6 separate regions of the Mus musculus genome follow, and regions 2, 3, 4, 5 and 6 are each reported to be linked to region 1. The links are microRNA targets in miRTarBase. Many come from high-throughput screens and were not tested one by one. Region 1 holds a microRNA gene; each other region holds the end of a gene's coding sequence.

What was found. The annotated mature microRNA mmu-miR-182-5p reads UUUGGCAAUGGUAGAACUCACACCG and lies in region 1 at 2,122-2,146, shown strand. An mRNA with a match to its seed (bases 2 to 7 or 8) in the 3' UTR can be bound and repressed. Matches are read on the target gene's strand: a 7mer-m8 pairs with bases 2 to 8, a 7mer-A1 pairs with bases 2 to 7 and ends in A, and an 8mer does both.
Region 2: miRTarBase lists Srrm1 as a target of mmu-miR-182-5p. Seed matches in the 3' UTR shown: 7mer-A1 at 2,588-2,594.
Region 3: the mRNA of Fbxw7 is a reported target of mmu-miR-182-5p. Seed matches in the 3' UTR shown: 7mer-m8 at 2,171-2,177 and 7mer-m8 at 2,161-2,167.
Region 4: the mRNA of Myod1 is a reported target of mmu-miR-182-5p. The part of its 3' UTR that is shown has no 7-base or 8-base seed match.
Region 5: the mRNA of Tbx1 is a reported target of mmu-miR-182-5p. Seed matches in the 3' UTR shown: 7mer-A1 at 780-786.
Region 6: miRTarBase lists Akt1 as a target of mmu-miR-182-5p. The part of its 3' UTR that is shown has no 7-base or 8-base seed match.

The regions. Positions count from the first base shown.
Region 1 is chr6:30,164,986-30,168,107 of GRCm38, reverse strand. It overlaps Mir182 (microRNA 182), which reads left to right and starts at 2,116; the gene lies at 2,116-2,190. All of the region lies in intron 1 of Mirc35hg (microRNA cluster 35, host gene), which reads left to right.
Region 2 is chr4:135,318,530-135,321,529 of GRCm38, forward strand. Srrm1 (serine/arginine repetitive matrix 1) reads right to left here. Exons shown (of 18, transcript NM_016799.4): 18 at 1,956-2,925. The coding sequence ends at 2,818. Among named protein-coding and RNA genes, the nearest start is that of Gm12984, 14 kb to the left of the region's middle.
Region 3 is chr3:84,977,184-84,980,305 of GRCm38, reverse strand. Fbxw7 (F-box and WD-40 domain protein 7) reads right to left here. Exons shown (of 14, transcript NM_001177773.1): 14 at 1,108-3,033. The coding sequence ends at 2,765. Among named protein-coding and RNA genes, the nearest start is that of Gm30944, 44 kb to the left of the region's middle.
Region 4 is chr7:46,378,055-46,381,176 of GRCm38, forward strand. Myod1 (myogenic differentiation 1) reads left to right here. Exons shown (of 3, transcript NM_010866.2): 3 at 90-1,038. The coding sequence ends at 340. Among named protein-coding and RNA genes, the nearest start is that of Myod1, 3.1 kb to the left of the region's middle.
Region 5 is chr16:18,579,570-18,582,691 of GRCm38, reverse strand. It overlaps Tbx1 (T-box 1), which reads left to right. Exons shown (of 7, transcript NM_011532.2): 7 at 236-988. The coding sequence ends at 699. Among named protein-coding and RNA genes, the nearest start is that of Tbx1, 5.8 kb to the left of the region's middle.
Region 6 is chr12:112,651,985-112,655,106 of GRCm38, reverse strand. It overlaps Akt1 (thymoma viral proto-oncogene 1), which reads left to right. Exons shown (of 14, transcript NM_009652.3): 14 at 330-1,286. The coding sequence ends at 409. Among named protein-coding and RNA genes, the nearest start is that of Mir6939, 5.8 kb to the left of the region's middle.

The DNA of each region.
Region 1 (3,122 bases):
GGGTCTTGCCTCTGTGAACCCAACTCTGCTCCTGTCCAGCACTCAGGGGGCCACTCAGAGCTGGGTCCCTCTAACCAAAGCAGTCCTCAGACCCCTAGTGGTCCTGCCTCTCACACTGGCCTTGGTGGAGGCTTTGCTGAGACCTCACTAGCAGGTGTTGGTATGGCCCAGTTCTATACTTCTTTCCAGGCTCAGGGCTCCACCCCTCTGGGGCCTGCATTCCCAAAGGATGACCACTGGCCATAGCTTTCTGGTTCTCCTCATCTAGCCTGTTCTCGACCTGGGTGAAAGTTCACCTATAGTAGTGACTGCCGGTGAGCAGAGGCCACAAGGCTGGTTGGACTCCGCAGAAAATCAGCTTCCAGAGGACCATGCTGGTGAGGGTGCGGTAGGAGGGGAGGGCTCACCCTGTCAAGCAGGACCAGTTTCTTCCTGGCTGTCTGATCCTGCGGAAGGATTTACCCTTACCCTCTCAGGGCAGTTGGTGCAGTTTAATCCACTGGGGACCTTCTTATATTGTTCGGGCTCGGTGGCTCCTAGGTGCCTGAGTTGCTGCCTCCTGGGTAGGCTCCTTGCCTCATTGCCTGGTGTTGGGGTTGCCTGGGCCAGCCGCTCCCCAGAGTCCCTGTGAGGTGGATTATTCCAGACTTTCGCCCTTCCCCCACCCCTGCATTTGCTTATTCAATCCAGGCCATTATCCGGGTCCCTGCCCCAGCTCTGCAGTCCTCTGGCTCTTGGAAATGCGATCTGGCTCCATTGATCGCAGGCAGGCGGGGCTGCTCGCTCCCAGCCTAGCTAGTGTGGCCCGAGATTGAGCAGTTAGGGGTGCTGACAGGATAGGACCCTCCCCGCTCACACTGGAGTGGAGGGAGTGACCCACTCAACTCACCAGTGGCTTGCCTTAACACTTTATAATGTGATAAAAATGTGTGGCCTGCCTTTGGGAGGTATGTGGCCAAGAAACCAAGGTCCTGCTTGTGTCCCCACTGGGGACACACTCTAGGTCAAGGTTTCAAGGAGCTTCCTTGCCAAGCAGATCACCCCAGCCCCTGAACTCAGTACTGGGATCACAGATGTGGCCCACAATTCTGGCCCAGCTATAAAGCAAGTTTTTCTCTGGGCAGTGGAGTCATCTCAGCACCCAAGCTTAGGCCACTGGCAGTGACCAGCTTGAGTGTCCAGGGTTCGTCTGCATCTCTGCCCTTCCAAAACATCATCTTTGGGTCCTTCATCCTCCCTGCCCTGCAGGAGGACAGAGGGACCGGTGGCATTTCCATCACTGGCCCTGCCAGCCAGCAGTTCCTCTAGATTTATGGAAATGAATCCATGGGTGGTTTGGGGGCAAAGAAGTGTACCATCTTTGGGGTTCCTTGAAGGCTGCAGGGGTGTGTGTCTTTTTGGAAGGGATGGGTAAGGAAATCTCTGCACTTGGGAGAATGCTGTGTGGATGTGCTAATGCAGCTGTGTTCCGCTTGGCTGGCCCTGCTAGACTGCAGTGATGGCTGTCTAGACTCTCCAGAGAAGGTCTTAGCCTAGGGTTCTTCCTCCCCAGCCTCAGGGAGGAGACCACAGGCCGGGCAGTGGTTTGCCTGTGGCTTGACAAGGAAGTGGGATCTATGCATTGACCTTTTACCTCCCTCCCGGTGGGGGGGTGGGACAGCTGAGGAACTTTAGGCTCTGGGGAATGTCAGGAAGGGATTAAACAGGATGCCACCTGGGGGCCTTGGTAGATGGCAAGCTGGCCCCATGCCACTCTCTTCCTTGGTTACCAAGCAGGGGACTCCCTGACCCAGAGTGCACCCATTCCCAAGCTCCCACTGGCAGGTTCCTGGGGTACAGTGCCTTTGAGAGCAGTGGCTATGGCTCCATCACTGCCTAATGCCCCTACACAGGGACTGTGGGTCGTGGGGAGGGGGGGAGGTGGTCGTGGGGTGGGGGGGAGGTGGCTGGAGGGCAGGCAGGGCTTGAGGAGGTTTTACACTGGAACAGGACCATACAGGCCGAAGGACCATAGTCTGGACCTTGTGTTAACTGTGGGAAGAGCGCCCTCCTAAAACCACCCTAACTGCTTCTTCTTCAGCATAGGCTTACTGGTCTGGCTGCTGGAGGCCTCCCACCATTTTTGGCAATGGTAGAACTCACACCGGTAAGGTAATGGGACCCGGTGGTTCTAGACTTGCCAACTATGGTGTAAGTGCTGAGCTGCTGAAGGTCTGCACCGTGCCGGAACCTGCCGATCACCAGGAAGGAGAGGGGACTCCTGTCTCCAGACCACCAGGCAGTGGCAGAGGGTGGGCGCAGCTGGAAGTGACCCTTAATGTTTCCCTGCGCCCCCCTGAGGTCACAAGTCATGAAGTCGACCTCTTCTCGGTGAAAAGGACTTGGGATCCAGCCTTGCTCCAGGGTGGCCCTCACAGGGATGGTGGGAATCCTAAGCTTGGTGAGGGAGAGACAGATGGCTTTTCCTCTCCCGCCCTCAACCCCTGAGGGCTGTTCTTCAGGTAGGTTCTGAGGCCACAAGGAAGTGTCTTCTGGTCTATGCGATCCCCTTTTGGAGCTTCTGGCTGGGGTGTGAGGGTGGAGATGGCATACTCTCCACTCAGACATCTAGGAATCTTGCCCAGGCCCTAGAAGGGTAAAGGAATGAAGGCTCCCATATGGACGGAGTGTGTTGAGGTCATCTGGAGCTGCGGCCTCTGTGTTAGCCCCTCCAGCTCGCTGCTTTGTGGCTAGGCTGCTGACACCTGAGCACAGAGGGGCGCAGTGAGAGTGTGCTGACAGTCTAGACTGCAGGTTCCTACAACTCAACTCTGGAGTTAGGGCCAGTGACTATCCTAGATGGAGGACCTTGGTGGGGTGGGCCTGTTTGGGAAGTCTGGGCCCTAGGGTTGATTTCCTGTCTCTATAGGTAACCAAGGCAGCTGCCCTGGGAGCTACACATGTTTGTGACTCTGCAGATGCACGACTGTATGTGTGACCTTAGTTAAAGTCTTTCTCTCTCTAAGGACACCCCAGGACCTCAGTTATTTTTTTTTTTAATATTTATTTATTTTATTTATTTATTTATTAAGATTTATTTATTTATTATATGTAAGTACACTGTAGCTTTCCTCAGATACTCC
Region 2 (3,000 bases), not on the chromosome of region 1:
CTGATTGGCCTGGAAATTGCCTGGAAATTGCTATGTAGATCAGGCTGTCCCTCCACTCCCAGTGGGCTCCGTGAATGACTACGATGTACATGTGATGTCTCACCTTACGGTTTTATGCTGATTCACCATTTAATTTATGAGGACACTATAGAAATGATGCTAAACAGAGGTCCAAATTCTAGTAACTTCTATGTTCAGAAATGGGTCAGGAAACGATGGCCGAGCCTTCAAGATGAAGACGGTGCCGAGGAAGCTGACCGCCTCCTGTGCTTGAGTCCAGTTAGTGCTGCTGGCTGAGATGCTGACTGATCTTGCTGGCGTGGCCTTGTGCAGTAACTCTAGCTTCTGTTGAGTTCACAAGCAACTAACTAGGGGGGAAGGCCCTTCTGCTGTTGCCTAAGTTACAGACATGTGCTCCATTTTTGAGATGGGACTCAAAAATGAGTAGAGACTGGGTTAGCCTCTAAACAGCTTCAACTAGCTGTATAGGCAAGGACTGCTGTCAGGTTTCAGTTGGAAAGAATGAAAGCTCCTGTGTTGCATGGGTCAGCCACAAATGTTCCAACTGTCAGGCTAAACAGAAGCAAATACTCCGACTGTTTATACAGGGAGTCCGCATTGTAGTCGCTCAACACTGCTTCTCCTGTCTCACACGGGGTTGGTTTCCACATGGAAGAACACAGAAAGCTCTGCACATGAGACTATTCCCAGCTCTAGAGTCCTCTAGGATTGTCTTCACTGAGTACCTTGTTTCTTCATTATAACTCACTGTAGGTTCCATGTAAAACCAGCTCACTGCTTAAGTCTTTTGATTTAGTTTAGTTTTTTTTTTTTTGAGACAGGGTTTCTCTGTGTAGCCCTGGCTGTCCTGGAACTCATTCTGTAGACCAGGCTGCCCTCAAACTCAGAAATCTGCCGGCCTCTGCCTCCTGAATGCTGGGATTAAAGGAGTAAACCACTACAAAAGGCCCCAGATTTGTTTTTTTTAATTTCACATGCATTGCTGTTTTGTCTGCACGTTATGTCTGTGTGAGGGTGTCCGATACCCTGGAACTGCAGTTACAATCAAGAGTTGCCATATGGGTGCCGGGAGTTGAACTCGGTCGGGTCCTCTGGAAGAGCAGCAATACTTCCAACCACTGAGCCACCCCACCTCTCCAGTCCAGCTCCAGATTCATTTTTAACGAGAAAGCTGTCTTTATATGTGTAACTTTAGGGTAAATGTTGGGGATTATAAAGAAATATGTGGAATCATTAAATTTCCCAGGTTTTTTTCACTGCCCCTCTCCTGGTCACTCCACCCCCACAATTCTTTCCCCGTTCCCCTTCCCTTCTCTTCTGAGCTGGTGTGGGTCCAGATTCTTAATCCAGGGCTTTCTGAAGGGGCCTTCTAGGTTCGAGCCTGGCCCTACCGAAGTCTTAAGTGTCTGTCTTTTGGTTAAAAGTCATAAACAGGGCCGGGCAGTGGTGGCGCACACCTTTAATCCCAGCACTTGGGAGACAGAGACAAGTGGATTTCTGAGTTCGAGGCCAGCCTGGTCTACAGAGTGAGTTCCAGGACGGCCAGGGCTATACAGAGAAACCCTGTCTCAGTCAAAAAACAAAACACCCTTAGGCTTTCCTGAAATTCAGATGTGGGCATTTTGTATTCTAGTTTCATCTATTAGAAGTCACAATCAAATTTATCTGTGCCTCCAAAGACTAGGCTCAGACTTCTGGTGTCACAAGCTTCAGGTCCAAGTGCCACCTGGGAGGTCCTTCACACTGACACCATGCCCTGCTGTAAACTGCCTCTCTCCTCACCAGCTTTCCATGTTCCAAGAACACACCCCCCTCTCCCTTGCTGACATCTCTGCAGTTAGTTATTTCAGTAAGAAGGGGAGAGCCTGCGACATCACTTTCTATTTTCCCTGAACTCCGTCCTCCCCTGCAGGCGAATAAATGTGAGTGGCAATGTTCTTAAATTTAGAAATTTATTCTGTTTAATCCACAAGCTTTATATAGCTTTAGTTAAAAAATAAAATAAAATAAAACAGTGAAACCAAGACACTGTCCAGGCCCTTCCAGCCCGCCAAATACACGAGCTCTTCAGTTGTGGGTACCAATTGGATGAGTAAGGAGAAACATGACGGGAGCCACCGGGTTCCATAAACAAATTTCTATAACTGAAGGGTCCATCCTGGGTCTAGGGAATCGCCTTTACACAGAGAAGAAAAGGGCGAAGGAAACAAAACAACCCTACCTGGAGGAGAAACCCAGATCCAAATCAGCTTAGGCTGCGCTGTCCCACAGGGCAGCCCTGCAGCTCTAGGGCTGGGATCCTGCCACACAGCAGACTCCACAGACAAAAGAGTGAACACTCACTCGTTCATTCAAACTTTTGTGGTACTTCAACAGTGGTCTCACTTCTGGGCAAGCTTACAAACCTATACAAGGTTGGAAGCATAATTTATGTGGATGCTAAAATTCAAGAGAAAAGGGAGGAAAACAAAACAAAACAACCTCTTGGGAGAGGTAAGGGCATTTAAAGGAACCACAAGAATGCCAACAATAGTCAAACCCCCTTTTTTAAAAAAGAGATTTTTTTTTTGGCATAAAATATTTCACTCTAAATGTCAATGGAAGAATGTCACTAATACACCGTGGACGCCTTTGTAATGTAAATCCATGCCCCCCATTTTTTTTAAACATGGTGAACTTCAACCTAGCAATTATTACAACAAATGTTATAGTCTAAAGCTCAAACACATTTTAGCAATTTTGAAATTGAATTGAGTACAAACCAAATAAAATTTACAACATAACAAACATGTCCGCTTAGGACTGTGGGGACACTTGAGCCTTCCGCATGGACCGCAGGGCCTTCTCCCGCAGGTGCCTCTCTAGGTCATCAAGGTTGTCATCTTCAGCTTCACTCTCAGTCTCCTGAAAAACAAACCCAACCCAGGCACATATTAAGTCTTGAGACACAGTGGGGCCCGAGTACAGCAACTGCACAGC
Region 3 (3,122 bases), not on the chromosome of region 1:
GTGTGGAAGACAGTGCCTCTTTATGCTCAGGGTCCACTTTAAGATAGAGTGTGACTTAGCCTTTGAGCAGTGTCGCTGTGATAGTTTGTACATGCTTGGCCCACAAAGTGGCACCATTAGGAGGTGTGGCCTTGTTGGAGTAAGTGTCACTGTGGGCATGGGCTTTAAGGCCCTTGTCTTAGTTGCCTGGAAGCAAGTCTTCTCCTAGCAACCTTAGTTGAAGATGTAGACTCTCAGCTCCTCCTGCACCATGACTGTCTAGTCGCTGCCATGCTCCCACCTTGATGATAATGGACTGAACCTCTCTGAGCCTGCAAGCCAGCCCATTATAACGTTATCCTTATAAGAGTTGCCTTGGTCATGGTGTCTTTTCACAGCAGTGAAACCCTAACTAAGACAGTGGCTCTGTGAATAAAGAGGACAGATGCTGTGGCTATGAGAACCTCATTCTCTACAGAGAAAGACTCCATGTTTATTTAAGATTTATTTCCTATAGCCTGGGTTATTGAGATTATTAGAGATGTATGCCTTTCTAGCCTCTATAAAAGCAGAAGAGTAAATACTATAAAAAACAAAACAAGACAAGGCATTTCCCCTCAAACCTTGTTTTAGTTTGCTAGCATTTCATCAGAGGCAGCGTACACTCAGCCTTTGGGAACGAGTTCAATCCTGCCATCCCGCGACTTCATCTAAGGCACCACCTAAGCTGTCTGAGCTGAAGCTCTCAGGGCCATCTGAGTCAAAGGTGACAGAGGCTACTTCTCTCAGCCTGAGAGAAGAATGGTGCGAGTGCTTTGGTGAACACTTGGTATATGGGATTTGAAGGTGAACTCATTATTACAAGGCTTCTAGTTGTAATTCCAAGTTTTATGACTGAAGAAACGAGCTTTCATGTTCATACACACAATGCAAACAGAAGAGTGGCCTCCCTGACAGCTCGGGGTGCCATCTGCAGTGCCTCAGCTTTGGCTGAGCTCGGAAGTGCTGGTTTCTAAGTCACAATGCAGGGGATGTAAGAAACCCAAAACTTGACTATTTAAAATATCTGACACAAATACTATATAGTTATAATGAAACAGTATTATCTAGTGGAAGAAACAGGCGCAATAACATGAAAAAACACATTTTATTGCACTTAAGTTATAAGAAAATAAAATTTCTAAGTGAATCAAACCATAGACACAATCCCTTTACAGGTTGTTTCCTCCATCACGTCAGGTTGTTACATAACTAAAATTAACCAACTTGAATCTGATTGTTTTAAATCAGACTATAAATAAAACAAACAAAAAATAAACAGGAGGAGGAAAAAAAAGACGGCCTAGGATACAGTGTTAACCACTTTCACAGTTCAGCTTGAGTTACGGCTCCTGGTGAATGAGGCGGACCATCTGACTCCCGCTCTCTTGCTCGTCGAGCTGGTAGGCGAGTGACAGACAGCGTCACTGCAGAGCGAATTCCTCTCACGTCAGTCACTCAGAGCAATGAAACTGTAACAGTTGTTTTCCCCAATACTGTAAGATGCTACGACTGACCAGCAACCTCCTTTTCCTTTGTGTTTTATATATCTTTAAAATATCTTGTCAGTTTTGCTATGTATGTTCTTCCATTCACCACAGCCCTCAAAAAGAAGTTTCTCCACAGAACAGGCACCTCAGGCTCTGTCCCAAGGAATGTGTTTTAATTTTTGCCCAGATAAAAGAAAATAAGCTTTGCACACACTCTCAATTCTTTATTTGCAGGCAAACTTCACTCTTTATTATCTGAAACTTTTCCATTCTCAGCCTCTTAGAGGCACAGATGGCTCAAGTTTCAGTGGCAAAAAAGTCTTTTTTTTCTGTAACCAAACTAGAGCAAATTTGGAATTCAGTCTGGGACTAAAACGTCACAGCAGAAAAAAAATAAAAAAAAAATAATTTGCTTTTTCTTTCTTTCATTTAGCAGCATAAATAAGTTTGGCCACTGGGAGTACAGTACAGGGGTGGGACAACGACCCCGGATTTGAAGACCTACTTCTAGCACCAGCATCAAGAATTATATCCATCTCAGGACTCACACAACCCAGGACAACTTGCCACCTTTGAGCAACATATGCATTGAAGAGTAGAAGCAACAGTAAAGAGATAGATTAACAGAGGCTAATACTGTGATTGATTGACATTGGCAATGGTTGGCAAAAAAAAAAAAGAAAAAAGAAAAGAAGAGAAACAGGAAAAAGAGAAAAAAGAAAGCTTCATGATAACTGTACAAAAACAATTCACAGTAATTGTTTTAAGCTTTTCCACTTCAGAAAAATGACGGTTTGTTGCAGATGCTCTGATTAGAAGATAAGCAGCCCGTGTTTGGATATTACTGCCACTCCTTTCTAGGTGACGGTAACAACGCTGATGTAGCTCTGCTCAATGACCACTGGAGAAGAAAACAAAGAATAATTGCACCTGGTTGGATTTAGAGAGTCGTCTTGCCAAGCTGCCCCTCAGTCACAAGTGAGGCCTTTGCGAGATGCGACAGCTGCCGCCTCCTGTCAGTTACGGTCTCTTGTCTCTTCTTGCCTTCTTAGTCTGTAGGTCTTTTCAGTCTGTTGTCCCAAGCCAACATCCTGCACCACTGAGTACAAGGGATTTTTTTCCTTTTCTTTTTTCTCTTTTTTTTTTTCTGTTTTTTTTTTTCATTTTTTTGTTTGTTTGTTTTTGTTTTTTGCGCAGGGGGAAGGGTAGGGAGTATATTGTCTACACAGTTGGACAAAATTCATCATGTCTGCTTTTCATTTCATGTCCACATCAAAGTCCAGCACCAGGAGCTTGGTTTCCTCAGTTCCATTCCGACTCCCGACTGCACACACCAGCTTTGTGTTTGAGGCCCTGATCCGCCACACAACTCCCCCGCTCCCCCCACTCTCCAATGTGACGAGGTTTCGGATAAATTCACCCGTTTTCAAGTCCCAGAGTTTGACCGTTCCGTCGTCTGAGCTGGTAATTACGAAGTTCTTGTTGAACTGTAAGCAGGTCACAGCGCTCTGATGCTTGCTGGGACCTAGGCAAAGGCAAATGCGGGTTACTGCTTAGGAAGGACGTTCAGGGCTTCTGCGTGGGACTTGTGCTCTTCTACATTATGGCATACAA
Region 4 (3,122 bases), not on the chromosome of region 1:
TCCCTTTTGCTACAAAGCTCCGTGCCTATGGGCAGGAGACTTGAGAAGGGCCGCAAGTTTGGATTACTAACCTTCCACTCCCCTCACAGAGTCCAGGCCAGGGAAGAGTGCGGCTGTGTCGAGCCTCGACTGCCTGTCCAGCATAGTGGAGCGCATCTCCACAGACAGCCCCGCTGCGCCTGCGCTGCTTTTGGCAGATGCACCACCAGAGTCGCCTCCGGGTCCGCCAGAGGGGGCATCCCTAAGCGACACAGAACAGGGAACCCAGACCCCGTCTCCCGACGCCGCCCCTCAGTGTCCTGCAGGCTCAAACCCCAATGCGATTTATCAGGTGCTTTGAGAGATCGACTGCAGCAGCAGAGGGCGCACCACCGTAGGCACTCCTGGGGATGGTGTCCCTGGTTCTTCACGCCCAAAAGATGAAGCTTAAATGACACTCTTCCCAACTGTCCTTTCGAAGCCGTTCTTCCAGAGGGAAGGGAAGAGCAGAAGTCTGTCCTAGATCCAGCCCCAAAGAAAGGACATAGTCCTTTTTGTTGTTGTTGTTGTAGTCCTTCAGTTGTTTGTTTGTTTTTTCATGCGGCTCACAGCGAAGGCCACTTGCACTCTGGCTGCACCTCACTGGGCCAGAGCTGATCCTTGAGTGGCCAGGCGCTCTTCCTTTCCTCATAGCACAGGGGTGAGCCTTGCACACCTAAGCCCTGCCCTCCACATCCTTTTGTTTGTCACTTTCTGGAGCCCTCCTGGCACCCACTTTTCCCCACAGCTTGCGGAGGCCACTCAGGTCTCAGGTGTAACAGGTGTAACCATACCCCACTCTCCCCCTTCCCGCGGTTCAGGACCACTTATTTTTTTATATAAGACTTTTGTAATCTATTCGTGTAAATAAGAGTTGCTTGGCCAGAGCGGGAGCCCCTTGGGCTATATTTATCTCCCAGGCATGCTGTGTAGTGCAACAAAAACTTTGTATGTTTATTCCTCAAGCGGGCGAGCCTCGAGGCTCGCTCGCTCAGGTGTTGGAAATAAAGACGCTAATTTATACAAAGTGGCTCTGGCTTTTCCTAAGGGGATCAGAAAGAAACTCTACGAACTGGGCGGGCTGTCTCGCAGCGACCCCTGTAGGTGGCAGAAGGGTAGCACGGAGGCTGGGTAGTGCTGGGTAATGAAGAAGGGCTGGCAGACCTCCAGCTGTAGGGAATTCCCCAGGCCTTGCCTGCCGCACCCAAGAAAACCAGTGGCTCCGGTGGAAAGATGCACGTAGGTTGATGTTCGTTTAAAAATACAAAAAGCCAGATGTGGCGGCTCATCCCTGTAATCTCAACATATTTGAGAAGCCGAGGCAGGAGGATGGAGGCAAGCTGGAGGCCACCCTGGCGATAAAGACATAACCTCTTTAAAATACAAAATTAAAAGTTGGTGTTAAGGAGGTGCTCAGGTGATAGAGCACTTGCCTAGCATGCACAAAATCCCAGGCTCAGTCCCCAGCACCATATCAACCTGTCATGGGGGACACAGCTGTAGTTTCAAGGCCCGGAAGGTAACACAGGAAAATCAGAAGTGTGTGGCCATCCTTAGCTACACAGCAAGTTCCAGGCCAGTCTGGGATACATGAAACCCTGCCCGTAGAATAATGGATTAATTAAAAAAAAAAAAAAACAACCAAAAAACTAGTTCTACCCATTTAAGATTCTGGCAGAATGAGTCTGTCTAGGACCAGTTATTGTTACTTTCCAAAGTCTCCTTTTAGGGACTCCCAAGTGTGTGCTAAGCTGAGAATGGCTCCCATCCACACAGTGTGTCCAGAAGGCTCTGTGAGAGCGTATGGCCCTGGATCCACACAACACCCTCACACGTGTGGAGGAGGGTGGGAAGATACAGTGCAAGAAGAGACAGCTAAAGGGCCCTGGGGATGGGTTATGAGCCATGTGGTGTATGCAAGCCCTTAACGATAGTGGGACTGCACAGGGACAGCACAGTCAGGAGCCAACCCTCAGAACATCTTCCACTGTCTCATCTCATTCGAAGATAGAGGCTCAGAGCCTGTGGGAGGAGGGAGGGGCAGAAGGGACCAGTATATCTCTAGAGTTGTGGTGCTTCCATCAGACTGTGTAGAGGGCAGGGGGAGGCCATTGGTGCAGCCAGAGTGCAAGGTGAGCTTTCTGGACAAAGTGCTATTCAGATGTGTCAGGAGAGACAAGTGTAGGCAATGCACAATGGCCGTGAGGGACCACACACACACACACACACACACACACACACACACACACCTCTATTCTTCCCTGGAGTGGCCTGGCATACATTCTCCCTCCCTTTAACACTTGTCCCTAGGCCCTCAGTACCTCCTGCATTCCTTTTGTACAGATCCTCTCCTTAACTTCCCATAGGCCAGGTTCAAGACACAGAAAAGACACCTTCAGGAAGGACCACTGCATGCAGAGAGTGGACTCTGCCTACCCTGCAAGACCATCCTGGAGGAGATGCTCAGAGCTTTTCCGTTACTCTGATGTTCCATTGGCCTCTCAGAGCTCTGTAGGGTTCCTTACACACTCTCTCGAGGCCCCTCAGGGATCAGTCATAACTTGTCCATTGGACATATGCCAATCCTGTCCTCAAGGGGAAGAGGCCACTGAACACACGTCCTCCCTTTGGGAGGCAACCAGACACTTGGGGGTTGAGCCTCTTCACAATTGGTCGCATCATGATCGATGACACATAGAACACAGACCGTGCATACGGACAGGAGCAGTAACACAAGCAGAGAGCTGCCAGGGAGAATCCTGAAGGGACTGGACAGCAGAGGGAGCTCACAGCTGAGGCACAGCAAGCACAAAAAGAGTGGGGCAACCTTGTAGACCCACAGCTCCTCATGAGAAGGAGCTTAGGAACACCGAGATGAGACAGGACCACATGGGCCTTGGCTGAGCTGCGTTCGGAGGGTAGCGGGGAGTTGCAGAGGGATCAACCCAGGGAAAGAACAGAAATAAATCTGCATTTTAGAATGATCCATTTGGACTGGTAGAGCAAACAGGAGGGAACAAGATGAGACAGATGCTTTGTGACTTTCCTGGGGGGAGGTGAACATATATCACCTCATAGAGAGAGGAAGCCAACAGCCCAAAGAT
Region 5 (3,122 bases), not on the chromosome of region 1:
CGCAGCCCGTGCGCACTCGCTTCTCCCGGGTCTGCCGCCGCACCCGGCCTCGCCCACACCCCCGGGCGTCAGTGCTTCAGAGTTGCACAGGGAGGCGACGGGCGGGCAAGCGGGCACTCGCTCTCCCGCCCGCCGCTCCCCGGACGGCGCGGGCCGGGGTGGAGGTGGGGGCTGTGGCTCCGCAGGTGCGCCCCGACGGTCTCTGCCCTGCGCTCACCCCCGGCTCTCCCCGCAGACGCTGCAGAAGCCCGGCGCGAGTTCGACCGTGACTCCGGACCCGCAGCGCTCGGCGACGCTACGCACCCGCCGCAGCTGCTGGCGCGCGTGCTGAGCCCCGCACTGCCCGGGCCTGGCGGCCTCGTCCCGCTACCCGGCGGATCCGGAGGCCGCCACAGTCCCCCGCACGCCGATCTGCGCCTGGAGGCGCCGGGCGCGTCCGAGCCGCTGCACCACCATCCCTACAAGTACCCGGCCGCCGCCTACGACCACTACCTCGGGGCCAAGAGCCGGCCGGCGCCCTACCCGCTGCCAGGCCTGCGCGGCCACGGCTACCACCCGCACGCGCACCCGCACGCGCACCCGCACCATCACCACCACCCCGCGGTGAACCCGGCCGCCGCCGCCGCTGCTGCCGCAGCAGCCAACGTGTACTCGTCGGCGGCCGCGCCGCCCGGTGCCTACGACTACTGCCCCAGATAGTGCGCCCGCGCGCCGACCCCGAGGGCCATCCAAGGACGCGCTCCCCATCTGGGGAGCCATGCGGGTTTCCCGCCCGCCAGTGCCAAAGCTCCCGTCCAGGCGGAAGGAAGTGGTATTTATTGTTCTCCGCGAGACCTCGTCGCCTCCGGCCCGGCCGGCAATTGCAGTGTAGACGACCGAGAGAGCCCCGCCTGCGGGCGGTGTAGATACGTGTAGATATGTGTAGATACTGTAGATACTGCACCGGCGCCGATTTCATAAACGGTTTTGCCTCTTTTGGAAATTGCCGGTGTGGCTATTCTTTTGCATCTAATTCGAATGGGCCGGGCGGCTTTGGGACACAGAGACTTAGTCTTCCCAGCCCTGGTCACTGGTGTGGGTGTGGAGTGAGGGTCTCCCCAGCTCTAATCGCCCCTCCCTCCCCTTGGGGTCGCTGCCTCCCTCCCTCAGCTCCCTGGGTCCACTACAGGCTGAGCATTCGGTTTTCCGGGGCAGGCAGCGGCTTTCACTTCAGCTCACCACACCTGCAGCTGCGGGTGCAGGACTTGGGCCTGCACGCTGACCTGTTTACCGGACTAGGCCTATAAGTTTTTCCGTGAAAGCCAGGAATGATGTTCGGGACAGGACACTGTCCATCCGGCCTCGGATGGCATGCGGAAAGACAGAAACAAGCCGCGGGCTCGGCTCTTCCAGCGTTGCCCTGGCCTGGCACCAGCCCAGAATTTCGTTTCCCCTGTTTATTGACTTTATTCACTGAATGTCCCCACAGAGTTATTGGGGGTGGGGGCGCACAATGACAGTGGTCATGAGTCATCTTGAAACTCCCGTGTGAAGCAATTTTTCCCAGGCCAGGTGGCCGGGTGACCTGACTCCCCATTAACTCAACACCATCAAAGTGGCCAAAGGAACCCTTTGATCCCTCCCTTCCTGAGCCCCAGCAGGAAGGGCCAACTGAAGGCCAGCCAGAGTTAAGGCTGGCTTATGCCTCAAATAAATGGGAAATGTCAGGTTCTATCCCTGGCCTTCTGTTTCAGTGTGTTCATGGCACTTGCTGCCATCAGAGACATGCCTTCCTTGGGCACTTCCACATGTCAACCCCAAGTCAGTCCAACTTAGTCTCATGTCTGATCTGTCCCAGGTTGGGTGGTCACCCCATTCCTTCCAAGAGCATCTAGTCTATATGACCAGAGGGGACAAAGCTATAGGGACACCCCCTTGAGTACATCTATGGACATTCATTCTCAACTCCTCCCCTGACCTTCCTTCAAATGCAAGCTTCTTTCTATAGGTGACAGTGGACTCAAGGCCACCTGTTCCACACTGGCCTGGGAAACCAAAGACACTCTATGTCTCCTGGAGTAGCCTGGGGTTTGTCCTGCAGAGGGCAATGGTCAGCTTCAGGCTGCCCCTCTCCCTCATGGAATGCAGCCATTTCACATTCTTTTAACATGCCAGGGATGTGGGGCAGAGCTGTTTCATTAGAACCTCCATGTCTGTGTTATTTAAGCTGAAGTGAGCTGTCGCAGCACCCGGGTTTTTGTAAGCAGGGGTGGAACACACACAGAGAGCAGAGACCCTAAGTGCAATTCACTGACCTTGAAAATATCCCTGCTCCCAGAGCTGGCTCATTCATCAGGAGAGCTGGGCCACTGCTAGTACACTCACTGGTGTGATTCCTAGTGCTAGGTACTCAGGCACTGTGTTGACCAGAGGCAGCAAAGGAAGGGACTCTCAAAGTTCAGGGCTTCTCCTCTCTGTCCCAGGGATGAACCTTAGCACATCTTGTAAACAGGAGGCTGGGCAAGGGCACACTGCTGTCATGTCCTCCCTCTCCTTTACTGCTTGGCACTGCTGACCCCTCTATGGGCAGCTGCCGCCAAACAGCCCTTGGCTGCCATATAAGAAATGGCTTTCCAGAAATTTCTTCTTCTGTGATGGCCCATCTCATCTGTCCATCTGGCTTCTTTTGGTTTCTCTGCCTCATGAGGGCTAAGATTCAAGGAATGTGTCACCGTGCCCTGCCTTGTTTTCTGAATGTGTACATTCTCCAGTTCAGACTTCGCACACCTGAATACGATGGTATTGATGGTGTTTGGAGGTAGAGCCTTAATCAGGGGTGGCAATGATGTTGGGGGGTGGCAGGAGCAGGTGCCCAAGGATCCACTGAGAAGGATTAGTACCCAGATAAAAGACACAGGCTCCAAAGAGATGGTTCAGTGGTTAAGAACGCCCGCTGCTCTTCCAAAGGCCTGGAGTCCAGTTCTCAGCACAGCACAGTGTTTCACAACCACCTGTAACTCCAATTTTAGGAGCTACAGTAGATGCCTTCCTCTAGCCTTCATGGGCACTGCACACACATGGTGCAAAGGCAAAACACTCATAGATATAAAATAAAAATTAAAAAAAATTTCAGAGGGACCCCT
Region 6 (3,122 bases), not on the chromosome of region 1:
GGCCCCTCAGTGTCTGGCTTGCACTCCTGCTTTTTTTGGGGGGGAACTGGAGTTAACAGGTGGTTGTGAGTAGCCACGTGGGCACTGGAACTGAACCCGGGTCCTCTACCAGAGCAGCCAGTGCTCTTAACCACTAAGCTCTCTCTCAGCCCCAAAACTAAAAGAATCAAACAAACCCTTTGGAGGGTGGTAGCAGCTTGGCGGGGAGGGAGGGAGTGTTCTGAGGGCCAGAGTCACTGCCCCCTCACAGGGCCCCCTTGTATCCTCTGGCATGTGTCAGGTGGGCGGGCTGTTTCTAGAGATGGTCTGAGCCCTCCTGTGGCCCACAGATGACAGCATGGAGTGTGTGGACAGTGAGCGGAGGCCGCACTTCCCCCAGTTCTCCTACTCAGCCAGTGGCACAGCCTGAGGCCTGGGGCAGCGGCTGGCAGCTCCACGCTCCTCTGCATTGCCGAGTCCAGAAGCCCCGCATGGATCATCTGAACCTGATGTTTTGTTTCTCGGATGCGCTGGGGAGGAACCTTGCCAGCCTCCAGGACCAGGGGAGGATGTTTCTACTGTGGGCAGCAGCCTACCTCCCAGCCAGGTCAGGAGGAAAACTATCCTGGGGTTTTTCTTAATTTATTTCATCCAGTTTGAGACCACACATGTGGCCTCAGTGCCCAGAACAATTAGATTCATGTAGAAAACTATTAAGGACTGACGCGACCATGTGCAATGTGGGCTCATGGGTCTGGGTGGGTCCCGTCACTGCCCCCATTGGCCTGTCCACCCTGGCCGCCACCTGTCTCTAGGGTCCAGGGCCAAAGTCCAGCAAGAAGGCACCAGAAGCACCCCCCTGTGGTATGCTAACTGGCCCTCTCCCTCTGGGCGGGGAGAGGTCACAGCTGCTTCAGCCCTAGGGCTGGATGGGATGGCCAGGGCTCAAGTGAGGTTGACAGAGGAACAAGAATCCAGTTTGTTGCTGTGTCCCATGCTGTTCAGAGACATTTAGGGGATTTTAATCTTGGTGACAGGAGAGCCCCTGCCCTCCCGCACCCGCTCCCGCGTGGTGGCTCTTAGCGGGTACCCTGGGAGCGCCTGCCTCACGTGAGCCCTTCTCCTAGCACTTGTCCTTTTAGATGCTTTCCCTCTCCCGCTGTCCGTCACCCTGGCCTGTCCCCTCCCGGCCAGACGCTGGCCATTGCTGCACCATGTCGTTTTTTACAACATTCAGCTTCAGCATTTTTACTATTATAATAAGAAACTGTCCCTCCAAATTCAATAAAAATTGCTTTTCAAGCTTGTGGTTTGCTTTCTGGTGTGGAGCGTCACAGCCTTGTTAGTGGGTGGGAGGTGAAGGGGTGTGGCTGGGGTCACATCAGGGTGGGTCCTGGGAACTGGTCCCTGAGGCTCCAGGGGATGTCGTCCTCATGGCAGGACACTCCTGACAGAAGTGGGAGGATCTTGACTGTCTCTGGAGTCTACTCTTGCAGTGACCCTCCCTGGCCATCTAAGACACCTGCCAGCCCCAGCTGTCGTGTGTCTGGCAGAGCAATAAGCCAGGCCCTGATACCAGGAAGGATAATGCGCTGGCGATACAGTTCAAAAAGGCTCAGGAGGCTTTGGTTGAGGTGACATAGCACATCTGTGACTGAACAGAACTGGGGACTGTTCTGGGTCTGGACAGAGGTGACAGGAACCAAGGTCACTCTAGAGTGTCTGCGATCCTGAGTCCAAGCCGCCACCAAGATATACTGAGTATGTTGCTGGTGACACCTGGTGACTACTGGTGGAACTGCAGCAAGCAACAGCAACTGCTCAGCAAAACATTTAGAGGCCTCCAGCCAGATGGCCTCCCCTAAGGCATGGACTACACATATACAGAGCCTAGTGGCTGGTGGCCTTGCTGGGATGGTGTCTGACTCCTGCAAAGTTAGGGTGGGTGATGATCTGGACCTCTGGAAAATAAGAATATCCACTTCTATAACAGCCAAAGATTTTCTCTAGATGACCACAAGCCCTCTGGAACCGTACACAGCATTGCCTACTTTGGGTTTGTTTGTTTGTTTGTTTAGAGACAGGGTTTCTCTGAATAGCCCTGGCTGTCCTGGAACTCACTTTGTAGACCAGGCTGGCCTCGAACTCAGAAATCTGCCTGCCTCTGCCTCCCAAGTGCTAGGATTAAAGGCGTGCGCCACCACTGCCCAGCACTTACTGACTTTGAAGTAAGATTTATAGACAACACCGGCTGGGTAAACACCTTTAGTCCTAGCACTTGAGTTCAAGGCCAGCAAGGTCAATGTAGCAAGATCCAGTCAGGAGGGAAGAGAGGGAGGGAAGGAGGAAGGAAGGAAATAAGGACTGTAGTGCTTTCTGTGGCCCTCAGACTTAGCACTAAATCTTACCTAAAGTGGCTGAAACGTAGAAACAAACACAGCTAAAGCCAGGGCTGGGCCGGCTACAGGCTGCTCTTTCCACAAGACCCCTCAGGTATGTGTCTCTAGTACAGAGGAGGGAGCCCTGAAGTTGTGCCCTCAACACAGAGGTGGGCAAAGCTCTCTTCCTGAGCCCACTGTTACTCATGAAAGCTGCCCAACATGATCATTGTAGGTGAGAGCGGACATCTAGGGAATGCTCTTGGGAAGTGGTACCCTCTCCCCGAAGACAGGCCTGGCCTAGCCTGAACCACCAGAGCAGATAGGGGATAGACCCTGTGGCCATGGTAGGGTCTGGTAAGCTTAAATGAGGTAAGTAATTCATAAGGCAGGAAGTAGAATGGTGCTTGCTAGGGTGGAGATCGGTGGGAATGAGGTGTGTAGCCACTTGATGACTATAGTTTCCATTTAGGGAAATGACCTACACTAAGGCCAAGAAAGGAGGGAGCAAAGTTTACTATTTGTCTTATGGGAACCGAGTTGAAACAAGACCTTTTGAGTTCTGTTCTAGGATATAGTTAAGTGTTTGTAGTATAGCACTAGAGAGATGTGAGCAAACACCTATTCACCCCAGCTAAGGAACCAATGACAGCAGAGTACAGATACCACCAAAGCCCGACCTGGAGGACCAGTGAGTTTGACAGTGGCATATGAGAATATAGGTTGTTTACAGGAACAGAGATGACTCAGAAGACAGCTGCATTG